Linked DNA regions of Mus musculus: regions 2, 3, 4, 5 and 6 are each reported to be linked to region 1. The links are microRNA targets in miRTarBase. Many come from high-throughput screens and were not tested one by one. Region 1 holds a microRNA gene; each other region holds the end of a gene's coding sequence.

Region 1 (5,274 bases):
GAGTATTATTGTGTTTTTATTATGTAATATGAATTACACTGATGTAGCAGGACTGTTAGACCCTTTTTGCTTTGTGAGGAGCTCAGGGGATTGTGAGGAGAGACCACCAGAATAACTAGGTCGTTGCTGGAAGGAGGAGCATCCATGACAACCTTCAGCACTTCAAACCCATTCCCATTTCTGGTGAGTTTTTTTTTTTTTTTTTTTTTTTTTTTTTTTCAGCGACACAAGAGGGGGTTTCTTTGTGTTTGAGGTAGCTCTTGTCCCAACAAAGTGTGATATCGCCATCTCACCCCCCCCCCCAGATTGTGTAAAATCAAATGCAAACCTAAAATTTGTGGATATAAAGATCCTAATTTACAGAGTTTTAAAATCAGAAAACAAAACTAAAAGCCACCTTTTTAGGATGGAGTGAATAGGAACTAGACCCCCAAGAATATCATTTCTGAGCTCATTTTTTCCTGAATCATTGGCTACATTTCAACCATTCAGGTGGAAGAGAAGAAATAGTATAAAAACATATTTTTTAGGCCATTGTTCATTTATGGACCATTTCTATGCCCAGGTAAAAATCACTGTCACTGTGTCTCTTTACAGCTTTGTTTAGTTTATCTATGACTGATGTTTGACAGTATTTATGATGTGAATCTACAAAGAAATTCAAGCATGGAACATTTTCTTTCCTGGACCCACGGCTGAATACAAACCAATCTATTGTCTATTACTTTTTCCATTGCACATATGACTCAATATAGAAATTAATATTTTACTATTTATATACAATACTCTCAATATTTAAATTAGAATGCTGATAATTTTAAATATATGTTGAATGCATTAATTCAGACACATTTGACCCAGGACTCCTAAGACAAATCTTCATTATATGGGATTTGGTAAGCTACTCTGCCTCCCTAGTGAGCTGTGCTCTGCAGTATGGTTTTCTCTGCACTGTGGGATTCAGGCCTCCTAGGACTGCAGTACCTCCTGTGAGGAGCGAGGCTCACTGCCAGCTCCTGGGCACCATCACCCTGCCACTCTGTGGGCCTTGGCCTCAGAACTCAGTAAGGAAAGCTGTCCCACAGAAAGCCTTGCTGAGAGCCACGAGAGTGGTTGCAGGCTTCTCTACTCCTGCCTGCTCTGGTCACTAAATCAACCTCAGTCAGAACCTTTTAAATATATTTTGAGGCACACTCTAGGGTCCTTTGAGAGGTATCTTTGGTGACCATATCTGAGATAAGATCCTCAACTGAAAACCGTGTGTTTCTCTTTTCAAGATTGTGATTTAAGAGGAAAAAAAATCTATTTAATCTCTCTCTAGCACATTTTGTTAACTACTCGGGTTTCTGGCCAAATCAGCTGATTGTCAGAGTGGATGGTTTCAGCAAAATACTGTTTAGCCTGTCTTTCCGTATTTCAAGGTTTTTATTTGTAAGTTAACTAATATCCTGGGGTATGGGGCTGGGTTAGAGAAGAAGCGATTCTATAATTCTATTGCCTTGTTTGCAGAATTACCACAAGAGGAGGGGGAGGAGGTAATGGAGGAGGAAAAGAAAGAGGAAGAGGAAGATGATCCTGTCAGCAAGGCGAGGGTGCGGCCACTTTGGGTTATCCTTCTCCAGCCTCTCCTTTGTTCCCAGGCCAGATAGGCCACCACAGAACAAAGACTTCCACCAAGGCTCTTTCTCAGCGGTGGTTTTCTTAGGCTTTCGGGTTATGGAACCTACCTTAACTAAGTACCTCATGGTCTTCCAAATACATTAATTTACCAAGTCTTAGAGTTCCTGGCTTGGCCTTTCCCTCTTATTGGACAATATTGACTGATTTGGGTATTGTCACTTTGCCTTGGCCTTTTAAATCCAGTCAAGGCTACCATGAGACTGGGTAAAGAATGGGAGAATAGTGAAAAGCTTGGGGCGGGGGTCCTATTTTCACTGATAATTGAGTCATTTGAGGTTTCTTATGCAGTGTGGTCTGGGGTTTCTCATCCGTTTTGTTTTCCCAGTTCGACCCAGAATTTTATTTGGAAAAGGCCAGCACTCTCTGAGTGCCATCTCTTAGACCGTTTGCACCAATGGGAACTACAGCTCTCCTGACAGCTGTCAATGAAACCTCTAATATTCCCCTTGGGAGTATGCATGCGGATTTCCCAGATTCTCGCTGAAAAACATTTGACTGTCTTGTATTCTAAAGATTTTGAATCAATGCGAGGGGTCCTTGTGTCGCACAGGATGGGTTCATTCTAGAATTGTTTCTCCCCACCCTTCCTAACTTCTCTCGGATGTCCTTCAAGTGCAGCCGTAGGCTCCGCTCTTGGCATTCACCGCGTGCCTTAATTGTATGACATTAAATCAAGGTCCGCTGTGAACACGGAGAGCAGAGTCTCTGATCTTGATCTAGAAGCAAGTGACTCATTGCAACTATTACTATAATTTTCTCCCTGCCCTTCACCCTCTCTTGGAGCTCTAGGCTTGGAGTCCCTACTCCTAGAGTTGTAGCTCTGAGCAGTACTCCCACCTCAGCTTTCCTCCCGCCACATCTGTCAGAGTTGCCATTAATTAGTCTGCAAGGTTGAAGAGTAGCGGGTGCATGAGTCTGCGATTCTTATGCATACATCTGCATGCCATTTACAGCGCACCTAAAACCCATACATATGTCTATAAATCTAGTTTTCAAATGATGACATGGATCGAAGTTAATTACCCCTCTGGTACAGATCTAATTTCGTAATCGTGTTATTTTACTGAAGGCAATTAACTGAGTTGGTTCGCCCTGAATGCCGTCCTAAGACATTTGTAAGGAAAGGCAAGTCTTTAAGGACCACACCATGAGTGTTCTGCTGCAGAAACCTTTGTCACTCATCCCCTGTTGCCAGAGATCTAGCAGAAAAAGCGAATATAATCATGCATGTTTGTATGTCCGACAAACACACGTATACGCCTTTGATAGCCCGATTTTGGTTGGGAAATTTTGGGAAAAGATCAGAATCCCAGGCCGGCTGGGTCCTCCTTCTTTGTATTGCGGAAAAATTAACTCAACAGCACCTGCCGAGTCCCGGGAGAGCTGGGGCCCATCTGGTCTGGCTATGATTTTACTGCGAAGAGAAAAGGCTGCTTGCTCGGGCTTCCTCCGGCTCTGGAGAGCAGAGATCGGGTCTGAGCCCGCTCTGGGCGTAGATTTAAGGGCAGCGCAGCAGATGCGCTCTCTCTGACTGCGGCGGGAGTCAGGAGGAGATCCGAGTCTGGGCTCGGCGGAGGGAGGGCAAGATGGAAAGAAGAAGAATGAGGGGAGTTGACCTCTACGGGCGGAGCCCTCTGGACGGCAGGCCGGAGGCGGCAAGCAGCGGCTCTTTTCACAGCATCCCTTGCGGCTGGGTGGGCCAGGGGGATGGACGGACTGCGCTCGCCTGAAGAAAGCCAAAGGGCTCAAAAGCAGGTTTTGTGCGGAGACCCCAGAGCGCTCCCCCTGAAAAACAGAATCAAAGCGCAGAATTAGAGCAGGAGGGAGGAGGGGGAGACTGGAGAGGAGGGACAGGAGGAGGGAGGAATCACTCTAGGGAGCCAAGGTGACCGGCCGTCCGGACCTATAGAATCGAGCTCGGGGAGCCCCTGCAATGTGCGGGGCGACAGGGGAGTTCCCAACTCAATCCCGGCTTCGGAAGGTGAGAAGATGCAGTCAGGACGAGAGAAATGTTTTCCTGAGATGGAGTCTTGAAAGCGAGTCCTCAGATTGTCCTCTGTGCAGTCTCAGCGATTTGCGCATCCCGCGCGCCCTTACCCATCTAACCCCTCCCTCAGACCACACGCCAGAACCGCATTCTCCAATCTCCACCCCTTCTTGGTTTAGAATCCTGCAAACTGCAAGACTGAAGAGTTCTCGCATGAAAATCGAAATGATCGATGAAATAAAGAATTTCATATAGGCATAGCCCTAGAAATCCAAAGGCGAAAGAGCTGCTAGCTCTGCTCAAACCTGCAGAGGACCAAAGCGTTTTCAGGGGCTGCTCCGCGTGTTCTCGGAGGAAAGAGGAGGCTGAGTGGTTTCCGCGATATAAGGTGCTTTAGGATGGGCGGTGGGGGCAGGGAGGGGGTGGATCGTAGCGGTCCGGTCTTTCCCCCTCGCTTGCTGATCCAGAATTAGGGATTAATGGCTCGCTCCAGCCAAACAAATAAGGCATCTGCCTTCAGCACAAGAGGATTACACGGGCTGCTGACGTCACCAGTCAGACAGATGTTGGCTCCCAAAGTCCTGAACAGCTCGCTGTGTCCTTGAAACCAAAGAGCTGCAGAAGGCGCGCAGCCCCCAAGAGCTGCGCCTGGGCAAAGCAAAGGGCACCCTCCTTGCCCTTGCTTACACTCTCCTGCACGCACCACACTGGCCCCAATACAACTACCTAAGACAGAGCTCCTCAGTCTCTCTTGCCTTCTGCACAGCCCCCAGTCAAGGTCCAGGCTGGCTCAACACAAGTCAAAGTCACCACACTTGGCTTCTGTCTCCTAAAATAGAGACAGTACTACTTTCTCAATCCTCATCTAAAATCTGGCACGCACAGCCAACACCTCACCATGGACAGAGCTAAGCTCCAGATGAGCGACCACCTCTTCATTTTATGGTTAAGGCATATCTGCATCTTTCGTCCCCACCATTGTCCTTTCCCCAGGCCAAGGTCTAAATTTTTTATGCTTATTCTTATGAATGAAGACAGGCTGGAGCACCTTCCTAAACAATGACTCCCAAACTGTCTCTGCTTTCTACCAGAGCCCTGGGCCACCATTACAAGAACCACAAGAGCCCATTATGAAATGATCAGAATACCACCAAATTCCATTTAATATCCTTCTCAAATGCTTTTTAAATATTTAAATTTTTAAAATGCGGGTGTCAAAAACATATCTATCATCTATGCTAAGAAACAAGGACATTCAAAGAATTGCAGTTTCATTCTCTGGACAAGCACGATGGCTAAAGATCCGGAATTCATTGCCTTACAAATCTCAACGTCACTTGAATTTTATTTCAAATTTAAATGTAAATTGTTTTTTTTTAATTTTTCTAACCTGTGTGTTGTTAATGATTTATACGATCTTCCAGGCCTTTACAGGTCACAAAGAAGACTGGTTACAAAATAAGTCAGAAGTCACAGGGTTGAAAGTGAAAATTTAAGGGAGCAGTTATATAATCCACAAGAGAAATAATTGTGATGAATTTCACTTCTGAAAAGGTTAAGGTAATGAAACTCATGCAAAAAGCAATATAGTTATTTGACACAGAGCC
Region 2 (5,274 bases), not on the chromosome of region 1:
GTTCAGCCATATGGCTGGTTTCCTCTCGTTGTCTTATGTTCATCTCCTCAGCATTCTCAGTCAAACTCTTTGCACCTCTCAGTGTTTCCCAGATCTCTCTTCCCGCCACTCTCCCACCTCATATTTATCCTGCCTTGGTTCATTGGCCATAGGCTTTTTATAAGAGATTGTCTTTATATTCAACCATGCACACATAAGTAGAGTGTTTAATCCTAGCAGTTGGGAGACAGAGACAGGCAGATCTTTGAATTATAAGCCAGTCTGGTCTACATAGAGAGTTCAGGACAGCCAGGGATATAGAATATAACCTGTCCCAATTTTTTTTTCTTTGTGTTTTGCCTGCAAGTATGTATGTGTACTGTGTATATGTCTGGTCCTCTAGAGATCAGAAAAAGGCATAGGAACTGGAGTTAAGAATAGCTATGAGCCATTATGTGGATGTTGGGAACTGAACCTGGATCCTTTCCAAGAGCAACAGGTGCTCTTGAACAGTGAACTATCTCTCTAGTCTTCTCCCCCAAGAAACATGTTTCTTAATATACAAAATGTAAACACTCTGGTGGAACCACACAGTATGAGTGCTTTTCTAAACAAAATGTGTGATTCTTTTTTGGTTTTTCGAGACAGGGTTTCTCTGTGTAGCCCTGGCTGTCCTGGTACTCACTCTGTAGACCAGGCTGACCTCGAACTCAGAAATCCGCCTGCCTCTGCCTCCCAAGGGCTGGAATTAAAGGCATGCGCCACCCCCCTCACCCCACCCCCACCCCCCGACCAAAATGGGTGATTCTTGGAGAACCTATCCAGACTGTGTCATTGATTCATTGCTGACCAGTGTCCATGATGCATAGACATGTGCAGAGAGTTGAGCATGGCCCTGGACCTATTCTGTTTCTGTTTTGTCTTAGATTGACTTACTTTCTCTGTTTTCTCTATAGTCTAAGGTTGTGGGTGGCAGAGAGAATGGCAGCGATAACCTCCCTCCCTCTCCTGGAAGTGGTGACCAGACATTGCCGGATCATGCGCCTTTCTAAGCCTGTCCTAGCTTGCCAGCCACAGAGTACAGAAGCACACGCTCATCATCACAGCTGCAACTCTGCATGACAGAGCCACCAGCCAGAGACAGTGAAGAGCTGGTTTTGAAGACAGTCATACCCATGTTCATGCAGATGTGGCTGCCTTGGCATGAATTAGAGAACAGTCTTGTACATAAATGTTTTACACTAAAGTTCGTAGATGAAGCAGACCACTGTGCCATCCTTTCAAGGGCCACAGGAAATGGACAGGGTGGCGGGGCACTCAGGCCTGAGGAGCACTGAACCAGGAGCCCTGCTCCCTTTGAAGGTCTCAGCAGAGTGCTGAGGGAAGAAGTGTGAGTATTGAGTGAACAGTATTTCCTTCCTGACCTCCTCCCCTAGCTCAGGAGGAATACACTTACCTAGGTAATATCGCATGGTCGCAGTTGTCATACAGACTGAGAGAGAGTTGTCTATTTTCTGAGACCCTAGAAAGGAAACATAGCAACTGCTTCATTCTTACACTAACAACCTGGCTTTGGCAGAAGCAGATTTACTATTTTTTAAATGTGATAGTCTTTTCAAAAATTAAATAGGAAAAAAAAGTGAGGCAAGACAGCTTTAGCCTCATTGTTGAATATTATTTCTTTGAATTCAAGCTGAAACTCAAGCCTTACATTGCCTTATGCTTTGTTTATAGTCTTTTTATATATCTAAATAAATGAAGGTTCTTTAATGGGTTATGATACAATGTAGAATTTTATTCTGGCCCATCTCATACTCCTGCCAGTACCAGTTATTACATTTTATTTCTTTAATACTTTCTCCTGGTGTGCAAAACTTGGTTCTCTTAAGGAGTGGCATTTTCCAATAGCTTTCCACTCTGACCCACAGGGCTCTTGTGCTGTAGGTTAGGAGAGCTGAGAGAAGAAAAAAAAGCCTTTATCTTTAGCACCTGAATGGGATGTGCCCTGCACAGTGTTGCTTTACTGACAGTGGGCAGGGCTCTGGTCCATAGTCTCTGCCTGTCTGTTTATTACATGGAGAATAAATGAACCAGCCTTACAGATCAGGTAGGGGATGTGGTTTTGGTTCAGCCAGAACTCTGCTGTCATCTTTTCTCAGGAGCTTCAAAGATTTCTTTCTAAGTTCTTTCCTCCTGCTTCCAATTGCCACATTCTGCAGCCTCTCAATACCAGGGCCCTGTGTGTTGAGATCATGATTTGGAGAGAGGGCCAGCACTGTGCCTTAATGGCTCTTAGCAGGGCAAAGACTTTATCTGTTTGTACACATCTCTACACTCCTAGGGTGAGGTGGGATTTGTCCATTTTAGTTTCTGGTTTGACACAGTGTGAGGTGTCTTGGTTATCAAGTATTCCTGGTTTCTTTGGACACCCTTAGAATACTCTACCACACAAAGCAAGGAACAACGAATAACTGGGGAGCTGAAGAAGAGCACACCATTGGTGTCTTCTTTTCCAGGGTTAAAAACAATAGCTGTGTGAGGGAACACATTACAGGAGTGTAGGTCACTGATATATCTTCCTACAAATATTAGCAGGCAGCTTGTCAATAAAGCATTCCTTTGGAGGAAAATCCACATCCATTTGTTTGGTCTGTCTTTTAGGATAATGACAAGAGATCAGAGTAAATGCATATGATTCCTTGCTTTGAACGGGGACAAGCAGGAGACAACATGTATAAATTACGAGTCTTTGGTGTGCATATAAAAAAGGAGGGAATTGTGTAGAAGGTGTATCTCTGGATAAGACCAAGAATATATACCAGGCATGCAATGTAGAGGTTTACAGTCCATTATCAAGATTGGCTACACTAAAGGGGCCTTTTTGTCCCAGTAAACATCTTGTTTTGCTGACTTTTGCTATGAAGCTATGCCAGGAGCTCACCTGGCAGAAGAGGGCATTAAGGAAGACCAGCATCTTAAGTCCCACTGAGAGAAGACTGTTACCCCATGGTACAACAATCCTTAGGAGGTATGCTCTTATTCTGCAGATGAGGGGCCATGTGAAATAATGAGTAATTGAAGACCCTTAAGTGCTTATCGAACAGGGTAAGTTGGAGTTGTGGGCCAGATTAAAAGGGCTAAGTGGTATGGGTGGGATGGGGAGTGACCCTCGCACTGGGCAAGCCTCGACCACAGGGCAACAACTACATCTGGGCTAGAAAGTCAATATTTGCACTAGATGATATTGGAAGACAATTCACTATGCTCCAGTCATTAAGCAAATACTATAACATGCTCTGTGGATGAGAGGTTGCCTACTGGGCTTTGTGGGTACATGACTGTGTTCATGGACCCAGGCCTCGACTGTACTCCTTAAAAGATGTGTTCCTCCTCACAACTCTGGTTCTCATCACATGAGGTGATGAAGGCCTCAGAGAGTACTGTAGACTGGAGCAAGCTGAGAATGGGTAGAACCAGGGCATGTTGGAGGGTTTGTACTAGGGAAGACTCCGACTGAGGATGGTGGAATCTGCCTAATTGATATAAAGGGACAAAATAAAGCTTAGCATCAAAGGCAAAACCTGAAAACCCCCTCAAATATGTAACTGCTGCCAGAATTCCTGTCATACAGTCTCTTAAAGGTTGACATACTAGATTGGCATAGTGGCATATACACCTTCAGCACTTAGGAGGCAGAGGCAGGTAGGTGTCTGTGAGTGTGAGGCCAGCCTGGTCTATGAAGAGAGTTCAAAGATAGCAAGGGCTACACAAAAAAACCCTGTCTATAAATCAAGGTTACAGTTAGGTTATAAATAAACAAATAAACAAGCTTGCTAATTTGTGAACATTTGTAAGGTTTTTTTTTTTAAACATGCTTTTGGAGTTTACTGTGAAGAACTGTCACAAGCATTGTGTGTGTGTGTTGTAGCCATTCTTTGCCTATAGTTATTGTGTGTAGTTTAATGACTATATTTCATTTGAATGTGCTTATTTGTACAGTTGGGCAGTTTTCCATATTTACTTATAAGTTTTCTCTTTCTCCTTTTTTGTTTATTTTGTTGACACGTGGTTTCTCTGTGTACCCCTGGCTGTCCTGGAACTTGCTCTGTAGACCAGGCTGGCCTTGAACTCACAGAGATCTACCTGCCTCTGCCTCCCAAGTGCTGAGAATAAACTGTCTGCTGCCACCCCTTGGCCATTTTCATTATTATAAATGGCATTACTATAGACATCTCAATGCATAAAACTTATGTATTTGGAGACTAAAAAGTATCCTAGATATGGAGGTAATCATTTAAGGTCTGATTCATCTTTGCAAATTCCCAACACAGCTTCATAGCTTCTGTCTTCAGTTGGTTCCAGGTCAATTCCATTATCTCTTCCAACTGTGGAATCGTTTGCTCATGTTCTCACTCTCAAAGGTCATTATATAGCTATATGTCATTATATAGCTCTTACCTTAGATTCAGAACCTTCTGTCTCTGCTAGGATGACAGGCATGCATCTCTATAGCTAGCTTTCCTTCTTCAGTCAATAGATAACCTGGCCTTTCTGCTTATTGGGTTTCTTGTTTTGTTTGTTTGTTTGTTTGTTTTTGGCTACTTGCTTGATGTTGCACAACTTACTAAGTTTCTTGAGCTATCTGCTGACAATCTGGGCCTAGAACATGTGCCAATTCAAATTCAGCCAGCGTGCAAAAAGGTATAAGATGAAGGGAGAAGACACTGTTAGAAAAGATTGGAATTTATTTAATGCGTTATGGGAGGCCTTAAGTATTATCTGCTTTGTTTTTGAAAGCTGACTTGAAGACAGACAGCAATAGTGGCACATATATCTTGTTGGTTAACCAACAGCTGTTTAATTGGACTTTATGCCTGCTCAATAAGAGAGAAATCACGCCTGATCCTGGAAACCTAGGCGACTATCTGGGGCTAGTGAAGTCATGGATCACGTTGCTAAACCAGCATAGTCCCTAATTACATCCTAAATACTCATCCCTACACCTATAGGTTAAGTGTAGTTCTCACTCTTCATCAAGGAAAACATCTTCTCCAGATAGAGATCATTACAGAAATTGAAACTGATCAGAATGCAGATTGGTGGAGCCCAGTCCCCACAGATAGAACTCCACCACAAGTCCTGAACTTAAGGCTCAGAGATCATTGTGGAAGAAGGGGAGGAAAAGCTGCAACAACCAGAGGACCAGACAGTTCGCTCTAAGATTTATCTCCTTAAAATGTCAGAGAAGCTACATCCGTGAAGTAACATAACCAACATGGCTGCCTAACTGACCTG
Region 3 (5,274 bases), not on the chromosome of region 1:
AAACTAGCCAACACAACTGTGTAACTAGCCCTGGCTGATCTTGAACTCACTGTGTAGGCCAGGCTGGACTTAGATTCAGCAAGATCTGCTTAATTCTGCCTCCTGAGTGTGGAGTCTAAAGTTACATGCCAGAACTAACACTTTTTTGTTTTCCCCCTCTTTTGAAATAGGTTTTCATTATATAGTCCAGACTATCTTCAAACTCAAAATCCTTTTGCCTCAGCCTCCCAAGTGGACATTCCAAGGACTTGTGAATGTCCATAAACTGTCATTAGCCTAAAGTTCCAAACAGCCTATTTACCAACAAAGGAATACATATGCAAGGTGTGGTAATTCACACACAGAACACTCAGAAAAAAAATTATATTATAGTATGAACTCACCTAACATTTTAGAGAATAGCCAGTGACAATAAGTGCTGGAGTGGGTAAAGTCAGAGACAGATAGGGACACTGGGCAGTAACTGATATTGGTTCATTTTCTAGTTGTGGGGACCTTCACCAGACGCATTTCAATATTTAAACTGTATACTTCGTCATGTGTAATTTATTATGTGTCAATTATAACTAAACAAAACCAGCTTAAAGAGTCTAACCACATTCTTTGTAATTCAAGAAGCCATTTTCTCTTTCCTTTTTTTTTTTTTCTTCCATTTTTAAAAAAGTTTTTCAAGACAGGGTTTCTCTGTGTAGCCCTGGCTATCCTGGAACTCACTCTGTAGACCAGGTCTCAAACTCCTAGAGATCCGCTTGCCTCTGGCTCCTAAGTGCTGGGATTAAAGGCATGCCCCACCACTACCCAGCTCTAAATAAATGCCATTTTTTTTTTTTTTTTTTTGGTTTTTCGAGACAGGGTTTCTCTGTATAGCCCTGGCTGTCTGGAACTCACTTAGTAGACCAGGCTGGCCTCGAACTCAGAGATCCACCTGCCTCTGCCTCCCGAGTGCTGGGATTAAAGGTGTGTGCCACCACGCCCGGCTAATAAATGCCATTCTTGTCCAAGCAGAGTCAAACAAGGTTCATATGAACATTCTCACTGTGATCGGTTTAATTCAACTCTATAAAGAACCAATCGATCTGACCAGTTTACGTTACTACAACTACCAATATACAACAGTGCAAATCTGTCATTACAAGTGATGTACTGAAGCAGTTATCAGTCAGTATGTCAGGTAAATGTACTTTTTCTACTTTTAAAACAGGTTTTCTTGAAGATCACTTTATAATTAGAGAATATTTAGAATGTGTAATTTCCAAACATGATAAAACTATCAACATCTGTAGATGATAAACATTAAATACCAGGATAATTTACATATTAAAAATTCAAGGTTTGAAAAACTGCCAACTTCTATAATTATCAGTAGGTAAAAACCTATACATGTTGTTTATATATAACAGCAATAAACAATTACAACTCAATTCAAAATATAATCTAATGTAATTGTGTAAACAGCATGAAAATTCTTGAGGCTAAGTATAATCTTAAATCTTTATGTAGAAAATTATAAAACTTTATTGGAAAGCATAAAATAAAAATGCAGAAATATACCATGTTTATAAATACAAAACTGTGGCATTATAAATTTGACAATTCTTCACAAATTAACTGATGTACAAATTCAATGCAATTCTTCACAACTGAAACCTCACAAAGGGTCTTTAGGAGCTTGATAAGAGGATTCTAAAATGTATACAGGAATATGTGACTTCACCACAGCCAAAACCATTGCAGAAACTAAACCCACCAGGAAGGTAGTTACATACCATTGAAATGAAGAAATTACAAATTTATATGACAAAATCCAGTGAAAATACAAGCCACAGATGGGGCGAACACTGCAGCCATGGAAACGCCAAGGGGTTACTACCAAGGTGATGTAGGGAACTGTGTACATCCACAGAGAAAGTCTCACAGAAGAAAACTCAGCTAAGGGTTTGAGAAGGGAAGGCAGGAGAAGCAGAGGAGCTGTAACTAAACTAAAGGGAGGTCAGCCTCAACAGCAACCACAAACAGGCTTTAAAACAAACATGACGCTTCAAACTCAGAGCAGTGACGAGTGGCCCGGCAGCATCAAGTACTGAGGAGAATATTCATTCTGAGCTATCTGTACCAATTCTATCTCCATGAGGAACAAGTTCTTCTAGCAATATTTTATTTCTTTTAAAAATCTGGTACATATAAAGTTCTTCGGTATGATTTTACAGGCACCTGTTTCTGGAAATATTACATAAAAATTATAATTATGCCCAAACACAAAATACCATGTAATTCTACCCCTACCTTTTACACATTTAAAGATCTTTATCTAGGTGAATGTTTTTTAAAAACAATTAGTAACGAGTCTGTTAGCTGTCTCTCTGCAGCTTGTCTTCTGGGAAGTTAAAGCTTATCACTTCTGTCCTAGAAATTGCCTCTACAATGTTCCCTAAAAAACAGCGGGGAGGGGAGGCTAGCAGGAGCCCTTTCTGAGTTTACTCTCATTTCAATGGACTACTTTTTTTTTTTTTAATTTCATTAGCCTTGCCAATATCTGCACCAACAGAAAAACAAATACACCCAAACACTTAGGATTGATTAAGGGAAACCAAATTGTAAACACTACCAAAGGAAAAACTTAGATGCTTAAAGCTTTTTCCGCTTCTCAGCCTGTGTCCCCTAGCCCCTTGGACTCCAGGCTGTCTTAGACACAACTAACATTTATGGAGAACCTGTGCTGAAGACATTTCAAAACCTCTAGACCCATTTGCTTTTCATATTTTTTTTGAAGTCAGTTTAAGTTTATGTGAATGTTTTACCTGCATGCATACTGTCTGTGAATGTATGTAATACCTGTAGAAGCCAGAAGAGAACATTAGATCCTCCTAGGAGTTATAGCTGGTTATTAAATGTCATGTGGGTCCTCTGGAGGAGCAGTCAGTGCTCCTAACCCCTGAGCCATCTCTCCAGTCCAAGGTCAATATTCTTTATTTCCATGTTTTCAGATACAAATACAGGCTTCACCTTGTTAGCCAGCTTGGGAGCTGGCCAAGGACAGGTTCTAATCCCAGCAGTTTCGCTTCAGGATGGGGAGGTGAAGAGGAAAAAGGAAGAGGAGGAAGGAGGAGGGAGGAAAAGATGGTATATGTAAAGAGAGAGAGAGAGAGAGAGAGAGAGAGAGAGAGCAGGAAAAGAGTACTCCTCACTGATTGATATAGCCCAGGCTAGCCTTGAACTCCCCAAGCAGGCAAGGATGATCTTAAACTATGGAGTGCTGAGATTTGAGGCTTGGGCTGCCATCGTTGGCTTATGTATGCAGTAGTGCAGAAGGATGGACGGGGCTAGCTAGACAAGCAGTCTTCCAACTGAACTATGGAAACAGGCCTGGAAGTTGTATGCCCTCAGTCAGTAATCTTCCCTATTTGAGTGACCAATTATAAAATATTTACCAGGAAGACAATCTAATAGTTATAAATATTTTTCAAACAAGAATGAAATGTCTGAACCATTTTAGTCTGTTCTATTGGCACTTAAAATTACTATTGTAATTCTATCTCCTGCTTTGAAAAGAGGTTCCATTTTGCAATGCTTATACCTTTAGGATGAAGAGTTCATTGTAATATAACAACGGGGCATTCTTTATTTTCACTTCTTTATTGTTTGCTTATTAAACATACATTCTCAAACTGACACTTTGTCATGAATAAAGCAACAAAAAAGGTGTGCCTTACACACAAACATCATCTTGTAGGACTAGGAATCTGAATCCTGTACAACAAAAAGTCAGGAGCAGAAAGCATGTATTCTGAGCACACACAAATGTGTGTACACACAGCACACACACAATACAGCTTGCTTAGGTTCCTTTATGAGCATAATTCCTTAATCACCCTTTTGTGAAGAATGAATCTTAAGAAATAAATCTGAACTGCATTTATTTTCACAATATCAATGTTAAACTCAGGAGAAGAAACATCATTGACTAAATGTTAAACATTTCAAACGTAAAAGGCAACCTTAATTTTTAGTAACCCTCTAAACAGGGTCTGGAAAAAAAAAGTAGATTTTTTTCTCTTGGTATGAACAAAAGATAGTAAACAAGCCTGATGGAGAACGCCTACGTGTATAAACCCGTCTTGGGAACCGTGCTCTTTGCAAGCCTAAGAAACCACCAGAAATAATGGATATACCCATGCAGCACAAGTGCAAAGTTACCTCTACACATTTGTACAATTTTCAAACCCTCGCTTCTAAGACAATTTTAGTACACCTAATAAGTACAGCAGATCATTTAGAAAAAACAGAAACAAAATATATACCCAGTCTTTGCAATTCAAAAAAATTTTAACATGAACAATATTCAAATATAAAATTGCACTAATTTTTTTCTAAATATGATTTATGCAATCAAGGTTTTCTTTAAACAAGCCAAGCCTGAAAGATCTAATGTATACAAACTAACAGTAGTGTATTTTCCAAACACATTCTTCCTATATTATGATACGACATAACTGTTTTCTGAATGAAGGTTTATGTTAAAGTTTAAGGTGTAAACACTTTAGAAGCAACTTAGTTAAATTATTGTTCAGTTAAAAGTAACATCATCTCATAACAGGCTCCCGAATTTTCAAACTTTCATGTAAAAATACATTTACATCTTAAATTTCTAGAAAAGGCACATTTTATGTAGAAAAGCAGCAAATTTTTAAACCCACCAATTTACTGAAAAAGCCATTACTTTTTATTAGAAACAATAATGCTTTTCAAGGTGTTGGCAACAAGGCATGCTAGAGCACACATTTCATACAGTGTATTTCTCCCCTTAGTTACATTCCAGAAGTGGGTGGGCCACCGCCTTGGCTGTGGGAAGCTGACGTATTTGACGGACTGTGTAAGCTGGTCTCCTTGTACACAAACCAAGCATTTCCTCCCCAAAGTATCATATTCAGAAAGCCAAAGATCTATAAAGAGGAAAACACATAAGAATCTAATGTTTGCTTTCAGATACATACAGAGTAGAATAAAAATGAAGACTACATACAGTCCACTGTACAAATTATGGATTGCTAATGACTTATACCCAACATGTTAAACCTCTATATCTAACATAAAACAACAAAAATGAAAACCTTTTATTTCTGCATGTAGAACTTCTGATTACATCTGAGAAAGGTGAGATCTTCCCCTTATTACTTTGAATTTAGACTTTGGTATCTAGGGTGAGGAGGGTCGACGGGGAGCCGAGTTTGCATCTTTTACATTTGTACTTTTCTTCCATTGACTCTCCTCCTTCCT
Region 4 (5,274 bases), not on the chromosome of region 1:
CGCAGTCCCAGATTTTTTTTCTTTCTCTTTCACATCCCATGTGTCCTTCAGGCACCTCTTAATTGTTCCATCTTCTGTGTGTTTCTTCTAAAACCTGAGTGGGATCACTGTTGGAGCCCTGGTGAGCAGGATGGGCCTGGAACCTAGCTGGAGTCTTCCTCAGCCATAAATAACACCTTTTAGAGACGCTGGTTGGTTTCTTCAGTGCAGGAAGGACATGGCTTCTCTGGTATTACATCAGTGCCACCCAGGCTGGGGACTGGGGAGGGAAGTATGCAAGCCCCGCCTTGACTGCCCTTTCCTTTACAGTATGGCATCAAGAAGAAGGAGGAGCGTGAGGCTGAGGCTCAGGCAGCCATGGAGGCCAACTCGGAAGGCAGCCTGACTCGACCCAAGAAGGCTATCCCACCGGGCTGTGGCGATGAGCCAGAGGAGGAAGATGAGAGCATCCTGGACACTGTCATCAAGTACCTGCCTGGGCCACTGCAGGACATGTTCAAGAAGTAATGATATTGGGTCAGCACCAGGAGCCCTGCCCACTGTACAGACCCCCGCGGAGTCTCCCCCCAACAAGGGATGTTGGGAGCAGATGCAGCCCCCCTACCCCCGCAAAAATAAGCCATAGTCCTAGATCTATCCTGCCCATGTCCCCCCTCGCGCCTCGGGAGCCTCTGGCCACCCCTCCCCATACTGCCATCACTGACCCCACCAGGCAAGGGTGTGACCCTCAGGCCCCTGTGCTGTGCATCCTTGCCTTCGGGTGGTTGGACCCCTCCTTACTAATCTTAAGTTCACCATCCCCACAGAGCCTGCCCAAGGTCAGGCCCCGAGGGCCAGCCCTGACCACCCCTGGATGGGTGGCTACCAGTCAGGGCCTAAACTCAGGAGCACAGCCATAGTGGGGTGGGACTTGGGGAATGAGCAGTGGGTGCTTGGGGCCCCCAGCCCTTCCCTGAGTCCATTGCCCCAGTTTCTGGACTTGTTGGACCTGCTGGACCATTCGCTCTGTCTTCCTGTCTGTGAGCTACCACCCTAGTCTTCCCCAGCAGCCTTTGCATATTTTGTCCAGCTGTCTCTTTCTCTGTTGCTCTGCAAGGTTTGGCTTAAGAATTCCATGGCCAGAGGAAACACAGCAATAGATTTGGAGCGGGTGGTCTCAGACACACTTGGAGTCCCTTGACATCGTCTGTAATGCACTTTCCAGAGTCCCATCTTTCCCTGATCCCACCTCTCCCTGGTGGCCTCCTGTCCTCTTCATGTGGGCAGGCAGTCTCCTAGGATCTTCCTGGCTTTACCCCTGGACACCTACCCTCCAAATGCCCGTCTTCCTAAAAGCCCTGGGTTCTGGTGATTCCCGCCCGTGCAGAGCAGACAGAGGGCCGCATAATCAAGTGTCCCACCCTCTCCACTATTCCTCCTCTGAAGGGCTGACAGTGGCCGGTAAATGCAAGCTCCTGGGCTTGGGCTGTGGTGTTTTGTTCTGTGTGTGGCCCAGGGGCAGTATGACCCAACTACTCCCCCTTTGCCCAGCCAGCAGCCATTGTTCTTCATATTTGTTTAATTTACATCATAATATGTTGAATCTCAGGTAAATGAGGTCTGTATTTGGTAAGTTTTATCTTGACAGAAAGGCCAGCCTGGTCTTCCCATAACCCTTCCTGTCCACAGTAAAACTGAATTAAGTGTCCATGAGTTTTGGGCCAGGTGTGTGGCTTAGCATTGACCTTCATGACCTTACATAGCTCTTTAGAGAAGCCATAACAATTAGACTGCAATACTATTCAGAATGCCCTCTGCCCAAAGAGATGAAGCATGCTCGGCCCACAGTACCTTGCTCACCTGGGCCATTCTCTGCGCCTCTGGCTGGTTTTCATGAATTGAGAAGCCAGCTCTGAGCAGATGGCCCTCTCTTGAGTCAATCCTGCATCCTGTTCCTAGCGCATGGGGCACCGGGCGCTGAGCTTAGAATAGCCCATGTGTTACCTGTCTGTCTGTCCTCGTGCCTGCACCTCCTGCATGTCAGAGGCCTCACATTTTCTCTCTGAGGGAATCACAGCCAATAAACAGTGATTTCACACCGTGTGGCTATTCCTTCCAAGACTACCATTCGACCTGGGTGTGGGAGGGGGTGCCCTCCCTCACACTGTGGACAAACACAGGGTGTCTCTTATTCTCCAGAGGGCAAAGATCCCTTCAGGACCCCAGTGCCTGGAGTGAGCCTCCAGAACATACAAACCTTCTTTCTCACAGTTCAAGGCTCTGGTGAATCCAGATTGTACTGCTTCCCCGGCTTGGGCCCACCAGGAATTTCACAGCCCTGTTCCCCTGCCCACCCCAAGGGGCTGTCCTGGTTCCCAGTAACACTAGTGCACCTTCTGGGATGGCTGCCCACTCTGCTGAATAGGGAAGAAGTGACCATAGGTCTTGCCAGCTCTCTCCCCTGGCACATTATCAGCCCCTACCTCAACCCCATTTTGCTTCATGCTCATCCCAGCCTAAGGTGCTATGGTCACATTTGTCCTAGAAGAGTCCTTGTCTGTCTCCCTTCTGGGACACCTCTCTTGTAGGAGATAGCAATGGTGGGAAGTCCTATGGCTTCCTCTACACATGGAATGTCCACAAAACCTGCCAGTCTGAGCAGAAAGGCTACATATGTCTCACTCTTGCTGGGGATGCAGGGGTGAGTGGAGGTGAAGAGCAAAATGGGGAAAGTGGGTACGATTTAGAGGGGTCATGCTTTCTCCAAGTACAGTAGTATCTCCTCTTGCTACCTTGGGAGCATCCCTTGTGTTGCAGGAAGTATTTTTTAAAAATGAACCCACCAGTTCTCCGGCAGGGCCTAACTAAGCTCAAGAGCTCCTGACAGCCTGCTGGCTCTCGCTACCACATACCCCACAGTCAGCCATCACATCACAATACCCATTACCTGGGTAGAATCAAAACTCTTAAAGCTTAATTAGCTAATCAGATTTATGTATCAATAATATCACAATTTACAAGATGCCAATACAATAATTTCAGAGCCAATTGATGATAAAAGCGTTATCCCAATATTTCTTTTTTTTTCAAGTCTTGATTTTTATTACTTAAAAAATGTGCATATCTATTTTGCTTTCTGACTCTGTGCTTGTGCCTTCAACACTTTCACAACGATTTTCTGCTCCTCAATAAGGAAAGCCTGCTTGATCCTGTCACAGACACACTTGGCACACATGGACCCACCATAGGCCCTGCTGACGTGCTTCTGTGTCTTAGACAGTCTCATAAGGACTTTGGGCCGCACAGCACGAACCCCTCGCAGTCTGCCTGGGCACACGCCACATGCGGATTTAGGTGCTTTCCCAACCTTCTTGGTGTAGAGGTAAACAATCCTGTTGCCAAGGGTTCGAGACAGCCTAGTTTTGTTAGAGGCTGTGTTGTAGGAAAGCCTACGGCGGTATGTCAAACGCTGGACCATCCTGAGTGCCTCTGAGCAACGTCCCCGGAAGAGGAAAAGGAAGGGGCGGGTGAGTTCAGGGGTCAAGTGTCCCAATATTTCTAACCTTGTGAAATCATAGCTACTTGTGGTTGAAAAATGCCACGTGGGTACATGTCCGTAGCCATCTTCCTTCTGAGAGACTCTCTGTCTCTGCAACTCTTAGCCCCGCCCACCCACCACCACCCCCCACCCCCCGTTCAATCACAGGCCTCTTCACTAATGTAATTGGACAGAGAAAATCCTGTGACACCCTTGCAACTGCCTCTGTACACCTACCTCCAGGCACCACTGAATGACCCAGATAACAGTTCACTTGCTGGGGTGGCAGCTACTTCCTTTTCCTGGAGGTGTACCTAAGACCCAAATCTCTGGGTCTTTGCTACATGCTGTCACCCAGCATGGATGCTCATATAGGGACACCCATTAGTCTACCCATCTGTCATCCAGTGTCCTACCTACCTCACAGCCCAGTCTGCATTCCTTTTGAACTTAAACAATGACCTGAATGTTTTAGCTGCTGGAGAACTTGATCAGTTGGCCACCCAAGGAATGATGGGTCAGATCCTGGTGAATTATGTTCTAGTATCATCTCGGGCCTGGAATAATTGAGGTCCCTTCTCCTGTAGTTTTGTGTGTGTGCATGTGCGTATGTGATGGGAGAGGTGTTAAATACTTACTGTGACTGGTGACTTCTGTCTGAAGGGAAATGGGTGCTGAACAGCGGGATCAGGAACTGATGATACTCGTAAGTGGTGTGGTGGCTGTCAGAGGAGGTGACACATAAACCAAGAAGATAGGAGGCAGGAGCCATTCTCTCCCTCCTTCCTGCCACCACTCTCCCTGTACCTGTGTGTATGTGTGTGTGTGTGTGTGTGTGTGTGTGTGTGTGTGTGTGTGTGTGTAGGGTATGAGTATTCCAAGCCAGCCTAGCCCCAAACACTGGAGGTCTCTCAACCTTTTGGATGTTGGCATATCCTGAACACTTTGGCAGCTTTCCAGTCTCTGGCTAGTTTCTCCTTGGTGTCTGCAGGCAGCCAGGCCCAATAGTCAGGCTCTGATCTGTGCTCCACTCGGTAAGACCTACCCAGAGAAGCAGAGCTGTTTTGAATCATAAGCTACCTAACCATCAAGGCATTCTCGAAAAACTAAAAAGACCAGCAATTAAGGACCATTTTGTCTATCCCTGCTAATCCGCAGCTAGACAAATCCTACTGTCCAGGACATACCCAGCAGGGCCAAGGACCCCTGGGTCTGGGCCATCTGTCCACATATTTTGAACACTGGCTGCTCTCAGGTCTTCAGTCTACTTCAGATCAGTTTTGAAAGGGGATGGGAAGGAGGGGCGGTGGGAGACATGGTAGGACTCCTTCCAGGGTGGATGAGGGGTACCTGTGACCAAGCCCAGTTAAAACCTGCCACAGGTGAAAGGGTGTGAGGTGCAAGGAGTACTATGTGGGAATTGCAGAAGAGGTCTGAGCCAATCATCGCTTGCCACTCCTCCCCACACCCCCCAGGATTGTTTCCAAGATGATCACATGCAGATCCTGCCCAATCAAAGCTAGAAAGACTCGATTGCCTAGAAAACCTCCTCTGACCTCCTCAACTCTCCTGGGGAGAGGCCTCTGTTCTTCCCATTCCTGCTTACTTGCCACATGTTCCCGCCCCAACCCCCAACCCCCCAAGGCCACATCTTCCCTTTATCCCTTCTCTAACCTCACCTCTCCTTCAGGAGGTGTTCTTATCCTCCCCATTCCCCAACAGCATGAGCTAAGTGGTCACTGGCTTCTCTAGAGGCC
Region 5 (5,274 bases), not on the chromosome of region 1:
AAGAGTTAGGGAAGTACGGGTGGGACTTGAGGTAGGGTGGGGTTGGAAAGGTCCCAAGCATACACTCTACGGTTCACCCTGTTTAAGGAGTCAGCCGATGGAGAAGCATGCCATTTATGCACTTGCTGTTGGTCCTGACGTTGCTCTCATGAGCAGTGAATGGGTGATAGCTTGGAAAGAATGCATGTCATGCCCCGCAAAACTGGCAAGAGTTCACGCTGCTGAGAGTTGTGGAACTGTTTATAGCATAGTCTCCTCTTGAATGAGCCATCTTTGGATTAAGATTCGGGCTTTTCCGGGCTTAGAGAAAACACAGGCAATCCGCAAAAGAAGAACGCTTATAAAGGATACTTGGAGACCACCGCGGTTGAGGAAATACTGCAGAGCACTTCCTGCTTTCTATCTCTCTCCTTTTCTGGGCACAGCTGTTTCACCCTCTATTTCACTCAGTGCGAAAGACCCCACAAATGGAGAATGTGAATAAGTGAGGCTTGTGCTCCTGGGTGACCTGGGACAGGAGGGGCCTCTCCACCTCTCTGCTACCATTTGCAGGGCTGGTGCTGCCATCTTAGCTGATGTCTCCCACCTTCTTCTTCACAGCTTGCATCCTGACCAGGCTTTCCAAATCTAGCCTGTGAAGCGAGATAAGAAAAATCCCACAGAAGAAAAAAAAATGACCGAAGAATCCACAAAAGAGAACCTGGGAGCTCCAAAATCTCCCACACCTGTGACAATGGAGAAAAACCCCAAGAGGGAAGTTGTGGTCACCACGGGACCCTTGGTCAGCGAGGTTCAGCTGATGGCCGCCACCGGGGGTGCCGAACTCTCCTGCTACCGCTGCATCATCCCCTTTGCCGTGGTGGTCTTCATCACTGGGATTGTGGTCACCGCTGTGGCTTACAGCTTCAATTCCCATGGTTCCATCATCTCCATCTTCGGCCTGGTCCTTCTGTCCTCCGGACTGTTTTTACTAGCCTCCAGTGCCTTGTGCTGGAAGGTGAGACAAAGGAACAAGAAAGTCAAGAGACGCGAGAGTCAGACCGCTCTTGTGGTAAATCAGAGGTGCTTGTTTGCTTAAGACTGAGTAAGAGCAAACGCGAACGCTCACCCGCCCACACTGCTCTAACTCAGTGAACTCATTCATAGGAAACCAGCCCGGTACCGGATGAGCTCAACTTTCGAATGAACTACCAAAATGAAAAATAGGGCATAGAGAGGACTGAAAATGAGGGGTCAAGACGGTTCCCCCTTGGTAGGGAATAACTCATCTTTAACGACAAACTTAACCCTAAGGGCTATTTCTAACACAGACAGAGGAATCAGCTTGCTTTTCCTGTTAAACGTTTAGGGAGTGTGGGAGATGCACAGCATTAAATAACAGTTGGTTCCATTTAGAAAGTACCCAAGGGAAGAATGGACAAATAATGAGAGCCCTGGCAAGTGGTGTTATAAAAACGTTCCACCAAAAGCCTACATTGGCTTGGCATTCCCACGTACCTAAGAAGTTCTGTTATATATATACATATATATTTTTTCCAATAAGTTGATTCTTTGCCCCCCCCTTTTTAAAAGAATTTTCACTTTCAGTAACATCACTAGAGGTACTTTATTTTGAAGAATAGACTAATATTTTTTATATTTTAACAATGGACAATTGTAGATGGTTGTAATGATATGTCAGAAGAAAACAGAAATGTAGGTAACACAGATGACACAGGGACAGTTAAATTAATATTGAAATAATCCAATCTAGCACCTTTGATGGCTTTTATACAAAAGTTCAGTGTGCATTTCACTCAAAATAATAAATGCTCATGGCTGCTGAAACTTAAATGCTAGTTTCTGCTGTCCTTATTATTTTCAGATTTATTTTATTTGAATTATGTATATTCCTGTGAGGCTGTGCTGGGGTTTGTGCAATGAGTGCAGGTGTCCTTGGAGTCCAGCAGAGGGCGCCTGATCTCCTGGAACTGGAGTTACAGGTCGTTGGAAGCTGCCTGGCCTGGATCCTGGGAACAGAATGTGGGTCCTTTGCAAGAACAGTGCACACTCTTAACCCCCGTGCCATCTTTCTCACCCTTGTCTTTATTACTTTTGTCGCTATTCTGAATTGTCCACTTCCCCTCATCTCATTTGTAAATTATCAGCTGCGTGTTTCTCAGCTGGAAATTTCTTCTTCTACTGGAAGATTGTTGTTTTCATTTCATGTTACAGTTCAGCAATACTTAATATATAATATATTAATATGTTCTTAAGGGTTTCTAAAAATGCCAGTAGGAAATCAGTGCCTGGGGTAGGAGATTTAACAGTGTGCTATTAAATGTGCCTTGTGCTTCTTGATGATTTAATTATGAACTGGTACGGGTTGCATATTCCACTGGTCATTGTACTGCACAAATAGGATAAGACTGTGGCTCTGAGCTAGCCAATATCCTATATACTCCAGTAAGAATCATTTCTCATTACTGTACTTTAAACTTCACTCAACCAGAGTAAGAAGACAGTTAAGGATGAAGTCTTAGCATTTGCAGAGACTGGAGGCACCTATCGTATTACATTCATTGGAAGGGATTCTATTGAGGGACTTCCTAAAGTCTGCCAGTAGCCATCTGACATTGGCTACTCCCCAGTCCTTGCTAGCTTTTGTAGTTGGAAACACCTTAATGTTTCTAATAACATTGAATGCCAGTGAATGAATAGGGCTCACTGCAGGGCAGGGACTGCCCTGTCTTGATATGGTTTTTTGGTTTTGTTTTTAAGTCCATGACAGGCAAAAAGAAACTGCTGTATAAAGAAACTTCTCAGGGCAAGTTGAAGCTTCTCTGGACTGCTCTAAACACATCTCATCTTTCACTCCCAATCCAATAACCCTGTCGTATGAGTCAGCCAGACTAACTCCACCAACCTGCATTAGGCTCTGGTTTTCCTGCCTCTGTGTCTGCCCAGACGTTTCTCTCTCCCTTATAATGGTAACACCATTTTTCACATCCCCCTCTCCATCCCAGGCGACCCAAATCTTGCTTCTCATCAGCACTCTGGCTCCAAAGCTACCTCCTCCCGGAAGCCTGTCTCCTCTGTGAACACACTGTGCTTTCCCCAGCTACTGGTTCTTATCGTTTATGGCAATTTCAGCTTCTCATTACATGGGCGATATAAGTGTGTTTATTTCTCCCTTATAAGCCTTCTTAGACAAATCTGTACAGTATACTGTACCTAGTGTGCTGGCTGGTGCATTAGCTTGCACAGGGAAGAAACACAACAAATACTCAAATGAGGTGTTAAATAAACTCAAGAATGAAGAGTGAGCGGCTTATCCAGAAATACAGTCTATTCTTATATCTTGAGAGAAAACGTTTTGATTCTCAACTTCCCCAAGAATATGTTACCAGGCATTCCCCAGCTTCATGGCAAAGGCAGGTTAGGGTTAAGAAATGGTCCTCTGTTCTTGAGCTAAGTGCCCACCCAGCCCTTAAAAATGATTGAAAAGCAAACGCGTGAATTACTTCTGGCCACCAGGGGGCCTCATGCTGCTACCCGAGTCTCCAGAGAAATCCTATGGGATGACTTAACTGCTGAACTGATGGGATAGAATCTGCAGATAGCCATATGGTTCCTAGCTGAAAGGAACAGATGTTTTAAGTGCCTCCTTTCCATCCACTTCCCTAAGTTTTTCTTAAACAATGGAGATTTCCTAATATGGAGAGACTTTGGGGATTCACCGGGCCTCATCCCTATAAAGCCACCAAGGTAGTCCTAATATGCTGCAAATGGCAACTATAATAAGGAAACTAGACAAGACTTGAATTACAATCATAATTGCAGCATGCCATCCATGCTTGAGTAGCATCTGGCTTTACAAATGGTTCTATCATACACAGGGAAACGTGGGCTAAATGTGCCCTCATATATGATGCAAGCTGCTGTGTAAGTATGTATATATGCAGGGTCTCACACTAGAGCCCAGGCTAGCCTCAAATGTGTGGCAATCCTTCTGTCTCAGCCTCCTGGGTGCTGGAATTACAGGAGGGAGGGGAAGGGAAGAGAAGAATGAGGAGAAGCAGAAGGCTGGGGGAGAGAGGAGAGAGGAGAGGGAGAGGGAGAGGGGGAGGGGGAGGGGGAGGGAGAGAGGAAAGAGGAGAGAAAGGGAAAAGATCATGGATTTTGAACTTGGAAGAAATGGTTATATAAACTCTCCTGTTAAACTAACGAGGTAATCTTGAGAAAATAAGTTTCCTTTTCAGAATGAAGTTAGTTTATAAAGACATGTTTTTATTTCCTACCCCATAAAGCATTATGGGGGCTTCAGGGATGACTCAGTGGTTGGCAGCACTTGAGGAAGAACAGTCTGTGTTCACCTGAAACCACACATGTGCCCCCCTGTCTCACACTCACACACATACACATACACAAACACACACCACACACACACACATGCGCACACTAAAAATTCAACACATCTTAAAAACAACGTACTATAAAGTTTGGAAACTGCTACTTGTAATATCCCTTATATTGACTGCAGCTTCCCTCTCTGAGGGTCTCCACAGGTAGTAAAGCATCAAGCAGTTACTGGTTTGGATTGACTGTCCTTAACTAGCTACTCTGTTTAACCTTGACACAATCCACAGGTTGTCTAGTCCCAAAGTCATCTGGAGGAAGTCTCTTCCCCAAAGATGAATAAGCCTACGCACACAAGGTGCGGGGTGGGGGTGGGGGGATGGGAATGGGGGTGGGGATGGTGTCAGGAGAATAAGTCAATGAATAGATCAGCAGAGAGAAACGTTTTCCTCGGTGCCCCTCTCCTATGGACCTGTCTGTCATTTCATTCACTTTTATCCTTATCACTCTGCTGACAAGATGACTGAGGTAGAAATCAGCAGAGAGCCACTAGGTATATATATTTTCAACCTTGTGGTTTTGAATTCCAAGGGCCTAAGTCCCTACATTTTGGCATCCATGAGGAATTACCATCACTCCTGACTCTGTTACTTGCTCTGTTTTAACAGGACCCAGGCCCAGCTGCCATTCATCAACAGGTTGTACCTCACCATACTGTGAGGCTAGGACTCCACTCTGCTGCACAGGCTTGTTGACCCAGGGACTCACAGTCAGGGAGGCCTAGCACTGGGATGAATGAGTGGTGGGCATGTGGTGGTCTGAATAAGAGTGGCCCCCATAAACTAATGTGTTTGAATGCTTGGTGCATACAGAGTGGCAGTCTTAGGAGGTGTGGCCTTATTGGAGTGGGTGTGTCCTTTTGGAGGAAGTATGTCA
Region 6 (5,273 bases), not on the chromosome of region 1:
CCAGTAAAATGGTTCAGCCACTAAAAGCACTTGGTGTGCAAGTCCGACAGCCTGAGTCCAATCCCTGGAACCTGTGCTAGAAGGAGCACACTGACTCCTAAAATTTATCCTCTGACCACACATGCGCTATGGCGCCTCTTCGCAAGCCTCTCCAATGAGTCATAGAATTAGAGCTTTTAGTAAATCAGGATCCTTCCTGTTCCTGAGGTAGATGAGAACTCCTCAACCCGGAGAAATGGGTGGGAGATCAGGCTGTGCCTGTGCTTAGAGGACAGAGTGAACTCCCATGTGCGCTGACCCCCGGCTTTTGATCAGCCGGAATGTTTGGCTTCGCACAGGCAATTCTCTTGGTCTGATCATGTCAGTGGGATGGTGCTGTGTCTGCCTCACCCAGCTTTGTGGTTTCATACATCCTTGACCTGCTTGCCCACCAGAGCCAGGAGTGAGAGAGTCGTTGGGACTCGATGCTTCTGCTGCCATTGAGCACAGCCTCCTTTCATCCCACTGAAGATGATGTCATGTGTGTTTTCTGTTCACGTTCTTCTTTGAAAGGCAACTCTTGTGTTTTTACTTCTAGGTCCGTGTTCTTTTTTTTACACATCATATGTCTGCTGATAATCCTCTTTCTGCCAATCAAACCACACCAGCCTCAAAGGCAGTCTCGGAGTCCAAATTCTGTAAAGAAGAAGGCAGACTGATACCCACAGAGAAACGGTGAACAAGAGAGTTGCGGGACATTGGGAAGACATAACGGACAGGCTCAAGGGTTCTCCAGTGACTCGGAGGAGATGTTTACATGTATTTTTTTTTTTCCGCTGCAGGGAATATTTTTATGTCTTTTTTTTTTTTTGTACCATTAAATCACCATGTCTAGCTTTGTCTGCATACTTTACAGGGCCTTTCAGAAACACAGCATAGACAAGAGGCCACTGGGTAGGCTCTTCTAAAATCATTTGCACCTACTGAAATCTGGAAGCATGACTCCAGCCGTTGCCTCCGGCACTTAGGAGGTGTCTGCTGAGATGACTTGTCTGGAGTTTTGAAATCGGAACATTCCCAGGCATGATTTTTTTTTCCTCTTGGCAACTCCAGACCCTGGGATATGCAACTTAGTAGGCTGTGGACACAACTCTTATGCTCAAAAGCCCTTGGAGGAAAGAGATTGTGAAGGGAAGTTTTCAGGGTATAGAAAAAAAAAAGAAAAACCTCCAGGAACTGGGAAGATTAGCCCCTGAATGCTTGAATGGATCGATGCGTCCCCAAACCAACTGCATTATCACCCCAACTCAGCCAGGAATGTACCATTCCCTTTTTTCCTTCTGAATTGAGCCAAGATTGGACATCCGAAAGCTGCCTGCGTGCCCCAGGAGTTGGGGAGAGAGTGGGGGCTACTGGTTTCCATTTCCCGTGCTTGGATCTGATTGACTTCTATTGACCCTGAGAAGGCACCCGGATACCAACCAGCACACCGTCCAAAGGCGGCCAAATGTCTTTTCAAGAAATAGCTGCATTCAGCATGCAGAGGCTCCCTTTTGTCTCTGCATATCAAGGAAGTGTCGATGATCACGGCCAACGTGTAGACACTAGGTAACGTCTGTAACGGGCTACAGCCAGCTTTATTTTAGGTGATCTGTCATGTCGGAAAGCTGCAGGGGAACAACAGTGCTCTACTCTGTCTTTGTTATGAATGTGCTGTGGCTCCTTCGGGGAATTTCTACTGGATAAAATAGTCTATGTGAAAGAAGGAAACATAATATTTAAAATGTGGACGATAATAATAATGATGATGATAATAATAATAATAAAATATGCGCTTCAATGATGTGCCTCAATCAAATGGCCTGAAAGGTGAAAATTTGTTCTGAACAGATGATTTTTAAAAAATTAGTTTCTCACTGAATAAATAATATATTTCTATTTTAAGAAATGATTCCTCATAAAAATTATTTTTGTTTGTATCAAGACGTGTGTATTTTCACAAATGCATGCCGAGCTGGAGTTTTCTTTGTTTTAAGTTCTAGCATGTTGGTCAGTACTTACCATGTAAGTCAGGAATGGAGATTGACTTCTTTACCCGATTTCTTGTCTCCATCCACAGCTCTAGGTACGGCTTATTCCTCCACAGAGGAAGGCAATGTGGATTAGACATTTTTAGTGGTCTTGTGTTGCAGAACTATTGATAGAACTGAGACTTAAGGCCAAGACATTCTTGTGCGAGCTACTACTATCCATGGCTTTTCCATGAGTGTCTTTTCTAGTGTGTCTTAAGATGGTGAAATGAGCAAGTCTTTTACCAAAACTTATCCAGTCTTGGTGCTACATAGGAGAACAATAGTCCCTCCCGGGGGGTACCAGTGTGCAATTGGTTCAAGGGCCAGTTGCGGATTCCAGCATCTAATGATGATTAAGTTCCATATGTAAAATGGCAATTTGCAGAAAGCATAAGAATAATCTCCCTTGTATTTTAACTAGTCCGTGGGTTGCTTTTGTAATAGCGAATATCGTGTACATTCTGGGTAAATTATTGTTAGCCTGTGATGTTTTGGAACAGGAAGAAACTTACCTATACTTTTCAGTGTAGCCGTCACCTCATCCGGATATGATGGAAACAGAAACAAACACGTCAGCAGGAAGCCAGAGGAAGTAGAAGCCAGAGAAGAAAATCTGTGGAAGCTGAAGGAGAGGGGAGGGCACACCAAGCCCTGGGAGGCTGCCTTGCAGGCTTCTGCTGAGGGGCAAGGGGCAGGCTATCCTAGCCCTCTGGATCCTGCATGGTTATGTAGTATGAACTCAGCACATGAGGCCCACTCAGAGTTAACCAGGAACTCAAGCGTGCCCTAGAACCCAAGAACAGTATTTGTGATTGATCAACAAACAGTTCTCAACCTGTGGGTCCCACGCCCTCAGGATCACAGATCAGATATCCTACATATCATATCTACATTCCGATTCCTAACAGCAACAATATAGTCATGAAGCAGCAATGAAATAATTGTATGGGTTGGGGGCGGGGGTGTAGTTGCCACAACATAAGGAACTGTGTTAAAGGTTGCAGCATTAGGAATCTTGAGAACCACTGTGTTAGAGGATGGGATGTAGGTGCCTGAAATGTCCCCGAGCCTCCAGCAGGGATGTTGTGAGGTACAAACATGAAAAAGCTTTCACACCGAAGAGCATGGGAACAATCAGGATTGACAGGAAGCATGAGAAGTCCGCATGACAGAGATGCTCTTTCGTACCAGGCTTCCCTGTTCTTAAGCATCTCCACTTCTGAGAGAACCTTGGAGATGGGAGGAGATGTGGCTGCTGGGCCACCATCTTGTTTCTGTGAGGCTTCTCATAAGCTCTAAAGGGACAGCACCTAGAAGGGGAGATCTGGTTAATAAATCCAGTAGGGAAAGCTGTATTGATTGCCTTAGATTTCTAGGCTGTCTGAAGTAGAATGTGTGTTTAGTAAAGATGGGTTAGGTGGAGAGTTTTGGGTTAAACTAAATACATTATCTGCTCTTTAAATTATTATTAAAAAGTGTTATATGTATGAATGTTTGCCTGTATGTATGTATATGCACCATGTGTGTGCCTGTTGACCTCAGATGCCAGGAAAGGGCATAGATTTCCTGGAACTCGAGTTACTGATGGTTGGTGAGTCATAGAAATTAAACCTGGGTCCTCTTTAAGAACAGCAAGTACCCTTAATGCTGAGAATTCTTCCAGCTCCTGGCTCTCTCTCTCTCTCTCTCTCTCTCTCTCTCTCTCTCTCTCTCTCTCTCTCTCTCTCTCCCTGTCTCTCTCAAGACAAATGTAAAATATTCTCTTTTAGTGGTTTGTTTTTGTACTTGCCTTTTTTTTTTTAAAGACGGATCTCAAACTCAGAGATCCACCTGCCTCTGCCTCTGCCTCCTGAGATCTGGGATTAAAGGCACACACCATCACTGCCAGCCCTGTACTTATTATTTGGCAGTTGAGAGAAGAAGTAGGGAATTCAGTCTGAGATTCCAACTAGTTAAGAGAGAAGGCAGCAGGAGGTCTTGGAGGAGTTGACATGCATCCCTGGGACTGGTAGGACTCAAGCCATACATTCTTTGAAGTGTCTGGGCAGTGAATAGATGATCTACTTCTTCACCTCCACTGTACATCTGAACTACTTAAGAGGCTTTAAGAAAACCAGAGCCTTGGTGGTCTAGAAACTTCATCTTTTTCTCTTCCATTGTCTCTGGCACTTGGCATAGTGCCTGCTGTGTAATGAAGATTTAGTAAGTGTTTGTTGAGTGAATGAAGGACTGAATGGATTAGTTTAATGCGTCATTGCTCTTGACAGTTTTGATTGAGCTGTGTTTACACTGGGAAATGTTTCTGCTTTTCAAAATTAGTTTCTGAGGTAAAGGCCTGTGCTTGCAAAGAACACTGGAAGCATGTTATGGGGTGGGAGTGGGGGAGACCACTCAAACAACGAGTTTACATAGTCTCAAACTGCCTGTTCCATCCATTCACTAATGAATGCATTTATTTATAATATGTGTTATACTTGGTGTAGGCTTGATGCTTTTAGACAACGCAATTAAAAGATGCTGGAGACCCATTCTCTGCCCTATATAATGATCTCAGAAATATGTAGTTCAGACCCCTGTACTATGGGATGCCCTGGGGACATGCAGCACCTTCAAATTAGAAAGCAGTTGGGTTGGTGGCCTTATCCCTGCTTTCTTGTAAATTTAGAGCAGCTATTTCTTAGGGCTAATTCTCTATCAGGGCAGCAACTTCACTGTCCTCTGGCCTGCTGTCCAAAAAACTTAAGCTTGATCTTGTCTGAAGACCCCTTGACCTCCAGCAAACAGGGCACCACCCATACCAAGAAGCAGGTTCCATATTCATGGCTGCTCACAGAAGTAGTTTCCAGGCTCTGCAAGTGACTCCATGGGGCCCACAAGGTAAGTTATTTTTGTAAAAAAAAGTCTCAGCTCACATGAGCTTTGCCAAACTTTCTAACCTTGCCGACTCTGGCCGTGAAGAAGAGCAGAAGCATCCATGAACAACTTCATTTTTAACCTGCTTTCCTTCCTACAGTTCTGGGAACTTGGCAGTGGCCTTCTCTAGTAGAGGTGGAAGCCAGGGCTCTGAGACTACAGGTGTCAAGAGACAAAGTTAAGAGAAACTCAGCTGCAGATCCAATTGGCTTTTTCTTGTAGCATTCATCTGGCCAGAGGTTTCCAGATGCAGGCTGGCTGGCCAGAGCTTGCAGATACAGGCTGGCTGGCCAGAGGTTTCCAGATGCA

The links. Region 1 holds the annotated microRNA mmu-miR-124-3p (UAAGGCACGCGGUGAAUGCC, at 2,316-2,335, opposite strand). A microRNA usually pairs through its seed, bases 2 to 8, with sites in the 3' UTR of a target mRNA and lowers its output. Matches are read on the target gene's strand: a 7mer-m8 pairs with bases 2 to 8, a 7mer-A1 pairs with bases 2 to 7 and ends in A, and an 8mer does both.
Region 2: miRTarBase lists Tpd52l2 as a target of mmu-miR-124-3p. Seed matches in the 3' UTR shown: 7mer-A1 at 1,693-1,699 and 8mer at 2,257-2,264.
Region 3: the mRNA of Sypl is a reported target of mmu-miR-124-3p. Seed matches in the 3' UTR shown: 7mer-m8 at 4,652-4,658.
Region 4: the mRNA of Cplx1 is a reported target of mmu-miR-124-3p. The part of its 3' UTR that is shown has no 7-base or 8-base seed match.
Region 5: the mRNA of Tmem100 is a reported target of mmu-miR-124-3p. The part of its 3' UTR that is shown has no 7-base or 8-base seed match.
Region 6: miRTarBase lists Mboat1 as a target of mmu-miR-124-3p. The part of its 3' UTR that is shown has no 7-base or 8-base seed match.

Annotation. Positions count from the first base shown.
Region 1 is chr3:17,792,784-17,798,057 of GRCm38, reverse strand. It overlaps Mir124a-2 (microRNA 124a-2), which reads right to left and starts at 2,396; the gene lies at 2,288-2,396. It overlaps Mir124-2hg (Mir124-2 host gene (non-protein coding)), which reads right to left. Exons shown (of 3, transcript NR_033490.1): 2 at 3,045-3,465. It overlaps Gm51272 (predicted gene, 51272), which reads left to right and starts at 2,317; the gene lies at 2,317-2,373.
Region 2 is chr2:181,514,145-181,519,418 of GRCm38, forward strand. Tpd52l2 (tumor protein D52-like 2) reads left to right here. Exons shown (of 9, transcript NM_001373959.1): 9 at 936-3,818. The coding sequence ends at 1,031. It also overlaps a transcript of Dnajc5 not described here. Among named protein-coding and RNA genes, the nearest start is that of Dnajc5, 3.7 kb to the right of the region's middle.
Region 3 is chr12:32,975,256-32,980,529 of GRCm38, reverse strand. It overlaps Sypl (synaptophysin-like protein), which reads right to left. Exons shown (of 5, transcript NM_198710.3): 5 at 1,028-4,940. The coding sequence ends at 4,806. Among named protein-coding and RNA genes, the nearest start is that of Gm40874, 18 kb to the left of the region's middle.
Region 4 is chr5:108,515,362-108,520,635 of GRCm38, reverse strand. Cplx1 (complexin 1) reads left to right here. Exons shown (of 4, transcript NM_007756.3): 4 at 310-2,082. The coding sequence ends at 507. It also overlaps the pseudogene Gm10086. Among named protein-coding and RNA genes, the nearest start is that of Cplx1, 32 kb to the left of the region's middle.
Region 5 is chr11:90,034,676-90,039,949 of GRCm38, forward strand. Tmem100 (transmembrane protein 100) reads left to right here. Exons shown (of 3, transcript NM_026433.2): 3 at 601-1,830. The coding sequence starts at 674. The coding sequence ends at 1,078. Among named protein-coding and RNA genes, the nearest start is that of Tmem100, 7.0 kb to the left of the region's middle.
Region 6 is chr13:30,244,772-30,250,044 of GRCm38, forward strand. Mboat1 (membrane bound O-acyltransferase domain containing 1) reads left to right here. Exons shown (of 13, transcript NM_153546.4): 13 at 578-1,923. The coding sequence ends at 698. Among named protein-coding and RNA genes, the nearest start is that of Gm40863, 12 kb to the left of the region's middle.